Linked DNA regions of Saccharomyces cerevisiae S288C. The gene in region 3 interacts genetically with the main gene of each other region. Each region holds a gene or a part of one and is shown on either strand. Other genes may lie near its edges. The genes, in order: RPA34, SIF2 and THP2.

Region 1 (6,398 bases), on a different chromosome or scaffold from region 3:
AATAAATAAAATATATTTGAAAAAGATTGATATCAAGAATCCAGATATCTTTGCGTGGTAAAGCGGTGATTCGTGTTGCAATTTCCACCTCTTTTCTTCTCTGCCAATTTTGAACTCGACTGCACAATTCGATTGCTTCAATCATGCTTGTGTTTCTGTCCTGCAGCGCATGGGGAAATTTCCGAAGCAAAGATGGGAACAGTCAAGAGCAAGAGCAACAGCAAAAGTAATAAAAGACAGTAAAAAGCACAATATACTGCTATCGGCCGTACATAGTAAGTTAGATTAGTGAAAGAGAGGCAGCAAAAACTGCTGATAAGTTTTTGCACCGAAATGTGCCGCTAACTGCTTCTTGTTTTGCTGCAAGTTGAGAACCCGTAGTGTCATAGCATATAAATAATCTTGTAAACGTATACTTACATAAAGACATGAGTAGAGAGCGTAATGACACCAACATTTTTCCCCTCAATGAAAGTGTCGAAAATGATGGTCCGATATCAACAGTCATACAATAATGTGACAGCGGTTTTCTGTTTGTGCGAAAAGAAAACAGTAGAATATAAATTGCGTTTCAATATAGATTTACGAACCCTAAACAACAACACGCATAAGTAATTGTGCTGGCTAAAGGGAAATAGTGCGTGCGCTGCCTTTTGTCAATTTTATCTACAGGAATCATTGATTATGAGGAGGACTTTTTCTCAGTTAGCAACCCGACTATTGAAGTCGAAAGATGATGAGCTGAAATCAACTCTAAAATACTTGACCAAAGGTCCAGTGAAGTTGTTGGGGCCTTTGTTTGAATCTTCTGAAGTTAATGAACAAGGTTCCTTATTGAATCGTTCACGCACTAAAGAAAATAATCTTCAAAATCACCATATAGAGAACATCCTGAGAATACTGAATTCAAATCTACCGGAAGTAGAGTCCAAGAAACAAAAAGTAGCTGTTCATTACGATGTGCTTTTCTCACATTTGAACTCAATAGTTACCCAGGCAACGGATAACAAAAGTTCTTCTTCGAAGGAACTACAAGGTTCATCGTCCGAGGATCTATATGATAGGCTGCTGCTTTTGCAGTATGTGGGCAAGTTAACTAATGTGCGTCAAATAACAGAAATTTTGCTCTCAAAAAAGTTCAACAAATTCGATAAAGTATGGGAGCACAGAGCCTTGTTTGACGAATACCAAAGAGTAGTGATATCCATCCTGTTGTATTATAGAACGCACGATGTGCAAATAAGAAAAGACTACGAGCCTCGTTGGTTGTCCGATTACAGTGATCTACCGTTTCCTCTGCGACGTCTTTTGTGGAGATGTCTAACTTCTAACGTATCTGAAGATAATATTCGTCAAAATATAATTCATTACATTAAGCTTTTAGGCGCAAATTGGAGGAATAACGATTTGATTTTAATTTATCAATCTTTGTATGAAAAGTCACATATATTGCCTGATTTAACGGTCCTGAACCACAATAAAGATGATGGTTTCTCTTTCACCCAAAATCAAATCCTGCTTGTTCGTATTTTAAGGGCTATTTCGAAATGCGTTGAAGAGGAACCAAAATTGGTCAAAAAATGGTTAATTGATATCGTAAAATTGAGTATACAAAGCAAAATAATGCTGGAGTCACCGAAGAAACCGTCCACACCAATAATGGACCAATACAAATTTATTAGATCCTTAGATATTTCTATACGGAGTATCCATCGGACGTGCCAGGATAAACTAATCTTTGAAGATTTACAGGTCAACCTTGGAAGTGTATTAAAGATGATTAATGAAGAAGAACACGAGTTAAAAACACACTTACCATTGAACCTCATATAAGAGAGAACACAGAAAAAGCAGGTTAATAATATTCATATGGCGACTCTAAATCAAGAAAAAAATAATCGTTTGTGTTACACCCGAAATATTGAAATTTCTAATCGTATACACAAATTTAAGTATGCAAAACTAAATAGTAATATTGCCCACACAAAACATTCATCAGTTTCCACCAGCAGAAATGCCTTTTTATATATGTAAATGCGAAAAAAAATCACTGACACACACACAAATGCACATTTTTATCTTATGTTACACACAGTTATACGCACATACGCATTCAATCTCTATGTTTCTTTTTCTTATCCTTTTTATCCTTCTTCTCCCTCTTCTCCCTCTTCTCCTTCTTCTTTTTCTTCTTTTCACTAGACTCCTCTTCATCGTCGTGATGTGAACGCTTCTTTGGTTCTTTCTTATTTTCTTTAACTTCCTCAGCCACATGGAAATCTTCGGCATCATAACCAGTAGCAAAATGCTCCAACTTCAAGCCTTCTACTTTTGGAACATCTTTACGTGGAACTCTTACCTTACTGTAATCAATAGCTGGGATTTTAGCGGTTTCGCTGACAGAAAATACCTTGTCAAACTGTAATGGTGCATTATCCTTGGCAGTGCTAGCAATTTTAAGACTTTCCTTACTTTCCGAAGGAACCAATAAAGTCATATTACTGAGGTTATCCTGTGTTAACGAGGACTCAATATCTGTATCGTCCATGATTTTATAATCGTGTTTATCAATTGTCATGGTTGTAGAGGATTCAAAATCTACAGGCAGAGATTTTAACTTGGAGATGTCCACATTTGATGGGAATTTGATCAGCCAAACCTGTTGCTGTTTCGCTTTTTTTTTGTTATCACCGTTGAGAGGGAAATTCTTTAAATGTTTACATTTCTTGAAACCATCTGGTATGCTGAACTCGTTTGATATCACTTCATCATCAGAGTCTGAATCTGATACGTAATCTTTCGAAAGCTTGGACATATCAATTTTTTGTTAATCCCGTTTATTGAATCCTAGCTGCTCACTGCTCACTCGATCACAGACCTATATGATACCGAATACCCTATAACTTGAGCTATTCAATGCTCATCGATAAAATTTTTCATTTCTTTAATTTCATGTTTGAGAAAAAAAGTTTCGCAACACCCAATAACCACACGCTGCCCTAAGAAAAAACTTTCTCAGGCTGAAAAGAAAATTTTTTTTCATTTTCTAGAGCTTTATGGGCAGAAACAAAATGTATAAATACTGGACAACCTTCTGTAAGGTTATAATAATCTCGACATTCGGTTAATAAGAATTCCCCTACATAAGAACAAACAGCAGTGACTGTAATGTAGTAAGAATGAGAGTAATCCTCCTCTTTCGACTTCAGCATTGCACTCCTTCCCATTTGATACATTCAAGTTTGAATAATCTCAAGAGAAATTTCATGACACTTTTTTAAACAGAAAAGAAGAATTGATTGGCCCTGATGATAATGGTGTCTCTTCTTTCCTCGTCCGATTCGACCATGACGACAAGGGATTTTATCTCGTTCTCTTAATGCGAATGATTTTGAAAAGATGTTGCTTCTGTGACATTTTTTTTTAATCATTTGTGTTTGCAAACGGGAACTTTTCTTGCCAGTGTTATACAACACATGCAGATCTGAGCCTTTATTTTTTCTCATGAGATTATCAAATGTGGGTAATTTGAGGAGACAGATAATATATATAATTTATGATCACGGTGATGAAAGACTGGTTCCTTAACATTCGCAGTTTCCACGGTAGGAGTACGCTTACGAACCCATCGTTAGTACTCTCGGTGACCGCTCTTCTTTAGAGACCTTCCTAGGATGTCTGAGTGATCGTATACTGTAGTATCTTGTGTTTACTTTATCAAACCAGCTTACCAACATTGGAATAGTTGGTTGATTTTTTTCTAGCATCCGAATGGATCTTGTATTTCCTTAATATGAAGTAGACCAGTAATCTGAATCCTGCTAGCTTAAAAAATGCGTTGAATATATATTATTAAATATATATATTTGAAGGGGAGTTGATTACATAACAGTGGCTATTCTTGCAATGGTATCAGAATTATTATTGTTGTTGTTGCTGTCGTTCTCCAGATTCTTGTTCGATTCCTTTGACCATCCATACAGATTACTCTTATAATCATAATGATAAAAGACGGGTTCAAAAATACGTTCATTATTCTCCTCCATAACTATTGTGGGAATGTCATTCAACATCAAGAATCTCAAATGAGGAAAACTTTTCAAAAAAGTAACGTAAATCGACTTGAAGTGATGGATAAGAGCGTGATAACACATAATAATATCTCTTTTGGTCAATGATTCATGAGGAAGTTCCAGGTCAGTGGAAATTGTAGCTGCTGTGTCATCACTACTTGGAGGAATGGCCGCATTAATTTCATCATCATCATCATCGTCATCGATTATTATCATTTCGGGCTCGCTCATATGAGCGGTTGATGTGGAAGTCACGGTGGAGTGTTGATGTGGGTTATTAACGATTTTGGGCACCAACTGGGATTTAGAATTTCTATATTCCAAAAGGTTGCGGTTCATCTTGGTCACAAAATTAGTCAAATTCATTGGTTGTGTTCTAACGCTCGGATAAGCATCACAAGCTTTAGAGTATGGTAACAAAGATAGGTATTTCATCATTTTAAAAATATCCTTTGCAGCAATGTCTTGAAGATCGTGAATATAGTAGTCTTCAGGGAACATGAATATTTTGCCCTTCAGAATGTCACTGAATACTATTTGACAGTTTGTGCAGTTGCATTGCTGATTTAGTTGGAACTTATTTTCTTGAATATTGATGATTTGTGGGATAAGACCGTCGTATCTCAGATCTATGAATTGCAATTTGGAGCAAGCTAAAAGAATGGAGAGAAATATGTGAGGATTTGTGGGTTCAGGTACATACTCCTCTAAGAAATCCATTTTTAGTCTTTTCAAATTGGTTAACGAACTAAAAAGATCTACGAGGATATGAACATCCTGCTTAATAGAAATCAAAGACAAATCTTCCAGGTTCTCAAATTCTTTAAAATCTTTCAGCATTTCTGTCTCGCGTTTTAACAAAGTGTCATTCCAAGAAATGATGGTAAGAATTTTCAATGTCCTCTTGTCAAAAACCTCCGATAGTTTAGTCAGAGGATTGCCGGGTCGTATCTTTTTAACAAAATAATCATTATTGTAAAACTCCCTCCTCCAATGCAATTTTAAATCGATGATTTGTAACTTGATATCTAAAGGGTAAAGATAATTGAACAGTTTTAAAGGGTCGATGAATAAAGTCATATGAGAAAGCCGAGAAGAGATACGCTGTGAAAGATATTTGGTGAGATTCGGAATGTAATTTTCGGGAACAACCATCTCAGGCAATGAATTTGGAGGAGCCATGTCGAAACTTGAGACGTTGCTCCTGGAAAAGTGACCATTGGAGATGATATCGTTACAAGCCGGGTCAGTGACGTTTTCTAGTCTTTGCAAGGACTTGCCCTGATTGCAAAGGATGCTGAGAATGGACCTTTGCAAGGTAGAGTCCAAATCCCAGTTGATCCTTATCCACTGGATGACTTCAGTAATGTGAATATTATTTTGCAGTGTTTCTATAAGTTTTTTCAATTTGCAGTTGGCGATATCGCGGGACTCCTCTTCTTTCAACGAAGACGGCAAGTTCAGTAGGGTCCAATTAATTGCGAGATGCATGAAGTCACTCTTCACTACATTTGAGTCGTTCAAATATATTCTTCTATAAAGCAGTTTGGTAGCGATCTTATTCAACCTTTTGTTCACAAGGCAAAGCTGCAAGCGGTCTGGTTGCGGCAAATGAGAGAATACTTCTTGCATGAGCTCATCGGGGAGCTTTGTTAGCGGGAACACGTAGTTTTTGCTCTTGGCGGCGAAATTTATGTTAATATCGTTAATATCTCGTAGCGCTGAAGCATCTGCGTTACTTTTATTGTTTCTGTTAATGAACGCTGCTTTTTTCTTCTGAAAATAATCTTGAAATGGCATGATATGAATATAAGCTGAGTTGTAAACACTGTGTATAGACGTCCTGGATATTTTGCACGGAAATCAGATCTCCATCGAAATCTACAATTCGCTTATAATCTATATATATTCCTCTTTGTGTGGGACGATAAAGTAGGGTAATACTTGCAATGAGAAAGAATACTCTGGTGAACAGGTGCATTTTGAGAGGGAAATAGGAACTAAGAAAAACAAGTAGAGGAAAAGGGGTGTAGTGCAGTGCAGTAAAGCGTTGCATTGATCGTATCTTGATAGATATACCGGTATATTACTGAACGTTTACATTCACCCTACAACATTTATAAATCTTATATATTATACATGCAAACTCGTATTTGTGAAGTGGGCATATAGTTTTTCGCTATGTATATAGCGGATGAGTGCGTTGGGATTACTATTTCTTTAATGCACGTGATGAAGGCTCGTTTTCTTTTTTTTTTTTTTTTTTTCTTTTTGGGAACGGGGGAAAAGGTCTCACTAGTATATAAAGGAAAGAGAGTACAGCAC
Region 2 (4,678 bases), on a different chromosome or scaffold from region 3:
CACAACATTGTCCCGGAAAATGCACCAAATAAGCATAATTTCCAAGGAGGAATTTCGTTTCTTGTTAGTCCCGTACCAATTTCTCTGGCAACCAATGCTTCGTAGACAAGAAAATATGTACCAAGCCCATGTCCGGCTCTTATCATTGTGGGAAATAAACCCCTCATCAATCCACCTTGAGCTTTCAATTTTTTAATACAGTCCCAAGGACCTTTGAATTCTCTGTCTCCACCATTAGATGTTTGCGTCTGCAAACGAATTCTTATTTGTTCAATGGGCGATGCCAAGAATGAATTGACTACACCACCTGTCAACCCACAAACGTAGTACTGGGATAGTGGCAGAGTATTTGAACGTGAAAGATCTACGTCCTGTGAGCTCATATTCGGGTTCTTAGAAGCGTTGTAATTTTGGAAAAATCTTTTCATCGCCTCATTCACACCAAATTGTACTGAGACACATATACCAACACCCAATAACGGTGTTAACGCACCTTTGTAGAATGCAAACACACCCTCATTCTTTACCAAGTTACGCAATACCTCCAACGTTGTTGTTCTTGTGGTGGCTGTTTGAAGCCTAACTTTTGTTGTATCAAACGGTTGCCCTACAAGAACTTGTGCAATACCACCGATGGTACCCGCAAAAATATCCTTCAACACACGATTAGAACTTAACTCTCTCTTCTCATTCGGCGTGGTAACTTTCTGTTGATCTTCCAATTCATCCAAAAGCTGCGGCGTAGGAAATTCTTCACTCATGACTAACTGTAATTGTAATACACGAAATTATTGCGCCGCTTTTTTCTGTTCTTTATGGCTACCCCTATTTATCAATTACAGTTGTATCATCCAAGAGGTGAAAACTAATTAAAGAAACTTATTTTAACACAAGGTATAAAAAATTATAAAAAAGCAATGCTCATTGTCTTCTCTCATCGCGAGCGGCCGTTATCTTCAAAGTGATGACTCTTCGAGATTCCTGCACAACGTCACTCAAAGGCGGCCCGCGACGTTTTCCATTGCGAAATTTTTCACTTTTCACCTTTTGTAAACAAAGAAATAACAATAAGAATGATAAAATTCATCTGTTTATGTACTGTACCTAGTTATTATATGGCTACAACTGAACCTTCTTGAAGCGAGTATGCTACAGAAATCTTGTTTCCCGCACAGTTCCATGACAGATCAAATATATAATCATTGTCTTGGCTGCTTTGGTAGCTAGCGTAGAGGGGAATTGGTAATGGATTCAAAATCCCATCACGGTTACCATAAAGACTTCGTGACTTGCTGTTCAGTTTTTTTAAATCGTAGACGTTTACCTGCCCATCCATGAAAGCAACTGCGTACTTCTGTCCATCTTGTGATATTCTTCCAGCAAAAATTGGGACACCATCCACGATTGATAGAGCCAATAGCGTATTCTGCTTCAGCGACCATAGGCGAACGGAGCCATCCATCGAGCAGGATATTACCTTATCATCACCGACCCATGATGCCGATACTATGCTTTGTGAGTGTCCGTAGAAGCAATTCTGAGAATTGCCGTTACCGCCATGCCATATTCTTAGAGTACCATCGTCTGAGGCACTAAGTAGAAGTTTATTGGTGTCATTGAACTCCAAAACGCTGATAGGTCCATGGTGTCCAATAAGTTTACCAGTGGGCGTTTTTTCTGTAATTTGGTATACAAATATAGCACCTTTAGGGCCAGGAATGACAAATTTGTCATCGTCTACCCATTCAACGTCAACCCCAAGTGAACCATCGCCACTATGGTTCTCTGCGTTGATGGATGAGCCACCGGTTTCTTTTAATTCAAAGTGCTGCATGACGGTCCCGCTTATAACATTCCAGAGTATAGTGACATTTTCCACGTCCATGGATATGATATGTGTTCCATCTTTGTTCCATTTAACGGATACTATAGGTGCTCTATGAAAATTTAAAACATTCAGAAGTGCCCCCGTCTTATTCCATAGTCTTAGCTCACCATTTTCTACACCCGTGACAATTGAATTACCATCGTGTGACCAAGCAAGACATGTGACTTGATTCGTCGTTTTACCACTACTTGCACTCAGAGCAAAAGGATGTCTCAACTCCGCTATTATCGTGAGTTTCCAGTATTTTTTCCCTTCTTGATCGGTTTCTACTATCCTCGCTAGTCTTGCAACAGAATTTTTTTCACCGTATGCGAGTATAGATTCATCCAATGGATTCCAAGTGGAGGAAACAATATTATCTAATTTTACTATCTCCTTCAGTATTTTGACAAATCCGTCTAGGTCATCACTACTGTCAATAGAATTAGTATCGTCCTCTTGGGTTTCTCTTTCAACAGTACTAGCGCCATCTTCACCTGCTTTATTACTCTCGGAATTGGTTTCCAAAGTGAACCTTCCTTCAGAAGAGATCTCAGGAAATTTTTCTTTATCTATTTGCAGCGCCTGAACCAAATTGAAATCTTCAGAAAGATGATGTTCATTTAAAGCGCTGATATCACCTTTACTATCAACCATTAACTCACTTTCTGTATACAAGATTCCCCTTTGTACTAGATTCACCAGTGTACCCAAAGGAATGTGTTCTTTATACTTCTCATCAAATTCCAATACTCTTGTTTCATCCTGCAATGCTAATGCACTCACCTCGTGTCCCATCTCTTGACAATACCTCCATATCAAGTAGTTTAGTTCTTCACTTGTTATACTCATTTTCCGTGTGATGGGCCTTCCCTACCTTTTTTTTGTTTCTGTTATTTTTATCTGAGTTAGCAGTTGTTAGTGTGGGCTGTACACTTCTTTGGAAAAAAAAACCTTCAATTTCGCACCAAGGTGTTTAAATTGTTCTCACTAATTGCAAATCAAAACGAATGGTCTTGCATATCTCATAACCTTTTCAACATGAATACATTCCTAATCATTTTTGTTTATTTCTCGTTTGCTAAGTTCCGCTCCATGAAAATAGATGACTGGAAAAAGAGACTAGAGACTGCAGTTAATAGTATATTTGTAAGACCTTGAGCAAAGCCGAATGAACAAAAAGCCTTCATATTAGACCAGGTAAGAGACTGAAAGTTGAAATATTTGTACTGTGAAAATGGTTGAGTTTTCTTTGAAGAAGGCCAGAAACAATTGGAAGCATGTAAAGAAGTCTGCAAGCTCTCCTGCTAAGCAAAAGACACCTCCATCGCCTGCTAAGCCTAAACAAAAAACAAAAAAGAACCCTTATAGTGATCTCAAGGATCCGGCTACCAGTTATACGCTACCAACAATCAATGCAAGGGAGAGAAGTAGGGTAGCAACTTCAATGCAGAGAAGACTATCAATTCATAATACAAATTATGCTCCACCTACACTAGATTACTCAATGCCCCTACCTGATATGCCAAACATGATAGTTCCCAATGATAATGTGGATAGTAGTCATAATAATAGTAGTTTCACCACTGAGAACGAATCGGTAAGCTCTAAAGGCCCTTCCAACAGTTTAAATCTTTCAACTGCCGATCTCTCCCTGAACGACAGCTCCTATAATAAGGTGCCTGCTAGATCAGCAATGCGAAATACTGTCAATCCTTCCGGCAGTAATGATCCTTTCAATAATAGCACGTCGCTAAGAAAGATGTTGGCAAACCCGCATTTTAATGCTAAAGATTTTGTTCATGATAAACTAGGCAATGCGAGTGCCATTACTATTGATAAATTTACCTCAAATTTAACAGATTTATCGATACAGGTCCAAGAAGAAGTAAAGTTAAATATCAATAAATCATATAACGAAATCATGACGGTAAACAACGACCTAAATGTTGCTATGTTGGAGCTTAAAAGGGTTAGAGCAAATATAAATGATTTAAACGAGGTTTTGGATCAGTGCACCAAAATAGCTGAAAAAAGGTTACAATTGCAGGATCAAATAGATCAAGAGAGACAAGGCAATTTTAACAATGTTGAAAGTCATTCTAATAGTCCAGCGTTACTTCCGCCTTTGAAAGCAGGACAAAATGGGAATCTCATGAGGAGGGACAGATCGAGCGTCTTGATATTAGAGAAATTTTGGGATACGGAACTGGATCAGCTGTTTAAGAACGTTGAAGGTGCTCAGAAGTTTATCAATTCTACGAAAGGAAGACATATTTTAATGAATAGTGCCAATTGGATGGAATTAAATACTACCACTGGTAAACCCTTGCAGATGGTACAGATTTTCATTTTGAATGATTTGGTACTTATCGCCGATAAATCAAGAGATAAGCAAAATGACTTTATAGTAAGCCAGTGCTATCCTTTAAAGGATGTCACTGTCACGCAAGAGGAATTTTCCACTAAGAGGCTACTTTTCAAGTTTAGCAATTCGAATTCAAGTTTGTATGAATGTAGAGACGCAGACGAATGCTCTAGGTTGTTGGACGTTATAAGAAAGGCTAAGGATGATTTGTGCGACATATTCCATGTAGAAGAGGAGAACTCTAAACGTATTAGAGAGTCCTTTAGATATTTGCAATCTACGCAACAAACCCCAGGTAGAGAAAACAACAGAAGCCCTAACAAAAACAAAAGACGTAGTATGGGGGGTTCAATCACTCCTGGCCGAAATGTAACAGGCGCAATGGATCAATATCTTTTGCAGAACCTAACTCTATCAATGCATTCGAGGCCAAGGTCCAGAGA
Region 3 (3,042 bases):
GGAAGTAGTAAAGAGAATATAAATGCATGTCCAGGAGAGCATAAGCCTGGCCCAAACCAAACCATGCTTTGAAGTCTCGAGGGCATATATCTACGGCCCGACGATAGCATTCTATTGCGGCATGTGAATTGCTTAGTTCAACAAATTCGTGACCCATCAAAGTCCATGCGTTTGTTGTTTTTTTATCCAAAGTTAGTGCTCGACGGAAATACATGATAGATTTTTCATGTTCCTGTCGGGCACTGTAATAGTTCGCTATGATACAACATGTTTCCGGTCTAAATCTATCTATTTGGGAGACGAATTGCGCCAAATAGGCTAATTTTGAATTCTTCTGCATGACGTATAGAATATTGGAGTAGGTTTCCAAATCGTTGAGACGGTACGGATCTTGTTTAACGATGTCATCAAATCGGCTTTCTGCGGTAACATAATCCAAATTGTTGTAACTAATAGTAGCATTGTAAGCCTTTAAAAAAGTGAAATTGGGGAAAACTTGTAACAAAAACTCTAAATCTTCAAAGTAGTCCTCTAACTGGCCATTAAGCTCCTCAAACACTTTTAGCTTGAAAAATTTGATCATTATATTAAATTCTATCGTTCGTTGACTACCAAGATTTTCAGAAAATTTGAATTGGAAATTTTGATATAGATAATTATTTAAAAGCAATGCATCGTCAACCTTTTGTAAACAGTCCATTAACTCCAGCCAGCAGGACCAGTTAAAGGAGTAGCAACTCAGAGATTTCAAGAATGACGACATTGCCTTAGAAATATTCTTCTCTTGCTTTAAGATGACCCCTCGTAAATAATACAACAGTGCTAACCCTAAATCGGCCTCATCATCGTCTATCTTTATTTCATAAGACTCCAGAAATGTGTTAATTTCCTTCAAAATAGATGATATGTTCGATTGTGACTCATGCTCATTGCTGACCATTTTTAAATTGGCGCGTTGGTGCCCACTTTGATTTATATCCTCATTCCCACTACCATCCCCATCTTTGTTAGCTCTGTACATTTCGTCCGTAAACTTCCCTGTAGTTAAGATATTTTCCATACTTTCCTGGCTTTTCTTATCCCACGATAGAAATTTACTGTATAATTTTAAGAACTTAAGGTATGGATTAGTGACATCTTTTAGAAAAAAAACGCATCGATCAAACTCTTTAGCATCAAACAACGTAGAACCAAGGAGGTACAGGTCATACTCAGTCTCTGATAGGCCAAACCCGTTTTGTGGTATTTCAAACATCTGTTTCGGTACACCTTGTTTATTTCTTAGTGGCGATTCATCGGCTAAAGAGTGTGTTTGATCAACATCAATAGCTTCTGCAAGACCTGCTAGCGCCTCTGCTGCCCACTTTGAGGAGCCGTATAGCTTCCATCGTGATAATTCTGTGGCAGCCTTTCGTAGCTGAATACGTATATCATGTATTATTTTATCCTGGCTGTCGTCATTCATGGTTCTAAATGCTTCACAATCTGATTCTGATCAGTATATATCCAGATTTCAGTTTTCCGCTCGCTAATACTCCCTTCTTCCTCTTAATTTGATGTGAGTACCGCAGTACTTGGTCTGCTATTATGAAGTGTTTGTTTTACCCGAAGTGCTTTTTATGTACGCGCATTGAAAAATAATAGAAACTTGGTAAGTAGAATACTTAAGAAGCTGCAGAAGTGCAGTATCTTACAGTAAGAAACAACAGCGACTAGTTTATCAGGTTTACACTGCTCAAGTTATCAAGTTCATAGCATGACAAAGGAAGAAGGTCGTACGTATTTTGAATCTCTCTGCGAGGAGGAACAAAGTTTGCAGGAAAGCCAAACCCACTTATTAAATATTTTAGATATATTATCAGTATTGGCAGACCCTAGATCATCTGATGATCTGCTTACTGAATCCCTCAAGAAGTTGCCTGATTTACACAGGGAGCTGATAAATAGTTCCATCCGCCTGCGATACGATAAATATCAAACAAGAGAAGCACAGCTTTTGGAGGATACAAAAACTGGAAGGGACGTTGCAGCGGGAGTACAGAATCCTAAGAGTATTAGCGAGTACTATTCTACTTTCGAACATTTGAATAGGGATACTTTAAGGTACATAAATTTACTGAAGCGACTTTCTGTTGATTTAGCAAAGCAGGTGGAAGTGTCTGATCCATCAGTGACAGTGTATGAAATGGATAAATGGGTTCCATCTGAGAAACTTCAGGGTATTCTCGAGCAGTACTGTGCGCCTGATACTGATATACGTGGTGTAGACGCTCAAATCAAGAACTATCTAGATCAGATCAAAATGGCACGTGCCAAATTTGGTTTAGAGAATAAGTATTCCTTAAAGGAAAGACTCTCTACTTTGACAAAGGAACTAAACCATTGGCGAAAAGAATGGGACGATATAGAAATGCTTATGTTCGGTGATGATGCACATTCTATGAAAAAAATGATCCAGAAGATAGATTCATTAAAGTCTGAAATAAATGCTCCATCGGAAAGCTATCCTGTAGATAAAGAAGGTGACATAGTTTTAGAATAAGCACATTTTATTTAACCAGCCTGCACAAGTTAGATAGAGTTATACATACTTGTTGAGTGGGAGGGAAGAAAGAGAAAAATTGTATTATTTTTTAAAGAGCTTTTTAATATTTTATTTGTTCTATCTATTATTTTCACTTCCCCGAAATAGTACTGAAGGAAAAAACATGCTGGTTTATTTAGCGTTTAATAGGATGTGTACGTACTGAGAATATCATCAAGAATCAGTCCTCGGCCAGAGCATCTAGATATGTCGATAGCTTGGTCTAGCGTTTTCAAAAGAGAATTACGGCTTGAAAGATTTTTACCAAGAGTATATTCGACGAAAGTTCCTGATAATGCACCAAGAGCGGCTGACAATGAACAATGGCTAGAAACCCTAAGACCTATAACTCACCCAGAACAGAAAAAGTCCGACCATGATGTCAGTTACACAAGACACATTAATGTTCCTCTGGGCGAAGTCACTTCTGTCAACTATCTACAACGGTATAATAAGCA

Evidence for each region.
Region 1: mutations in THP2 (region 3) and RPA34 together harm fitness more than expected from each alone (negative genetic interaction), as found in Saccharomyces cerevisiae (6 studies listed by BioGRID).
Region 2: mutations in THP2 (region 3) and SIF2 together harm fitness more than expected from each alone (negative genetic interaction), as found in Saccharomyces cerevisiae (6 studies listed by BioGRID).

What each region holds. Positions count from the first base shown.
Region 1 is NC_001142.9:136,854-143,251, reverse strand, and holds RPA34 (DNA-directed RNA polymerase I subunit RPA34), read right to left. Parts: upstream 2,816-6,398; coding exon 2,114-2,815; downstream 1-2,113. Other genes in the region: SMT1 (Smt1p), read left to right, coding at 685-1,833; SCF ubiquitin ligase complex subunit DAS1, read right to left, coding at 3,882-5,873. UniProt on the Saccharomyces cerevisiae protein: DNA-dependent RNA polymerases catalyze the transcription of DNA into RNA using the four ribonucleoside triphosphates as substrates. Component of RNA polymerase I (Pol I) which synthesizes ribosomal RNA precursors.
Region 2 is NC_001134.8:445,750-450,427, reverse strand, and holds SIF2 (Sif2p), read right to left. Parts: upstream 2,720-4,678; coding exon 1,112-2,719; downstream 1-1,111. Other genes in the region: YMC2 (organic acid transporter), read right to left, coding at 1-761; exocyst subunit EXO84, read left to right, coding at 3,105-4,678. UniProt on the Saccharomyces cerevisiae protein: Antagonizes telomeric silencing in yeast. May recruit SIR4 to non-telomeric sites or repression.
Region 3 is NC_001140.6:437,586-440,627, forward strand, and holds THP2 (Thp2p), read left to right. Parts: upstream 1-1,756; coding exon 1,757-2,542; downstream 2,543-3,042. Other genes in the region: anaphase promoting complex subunit CDC23, read right to left, coding at 1-1,465; putative GTPase MTG2, read left to right, coding at 2,792-3,042. UniProt on the Saccharomyces cerevisiae protein: Component the THO subcomplex of the TREX complex, which operates in coupling transcription elongation to mRNA export. The THO complex is recruited to transcribed genes and moves along the gene with the elongating polymerase during transcription.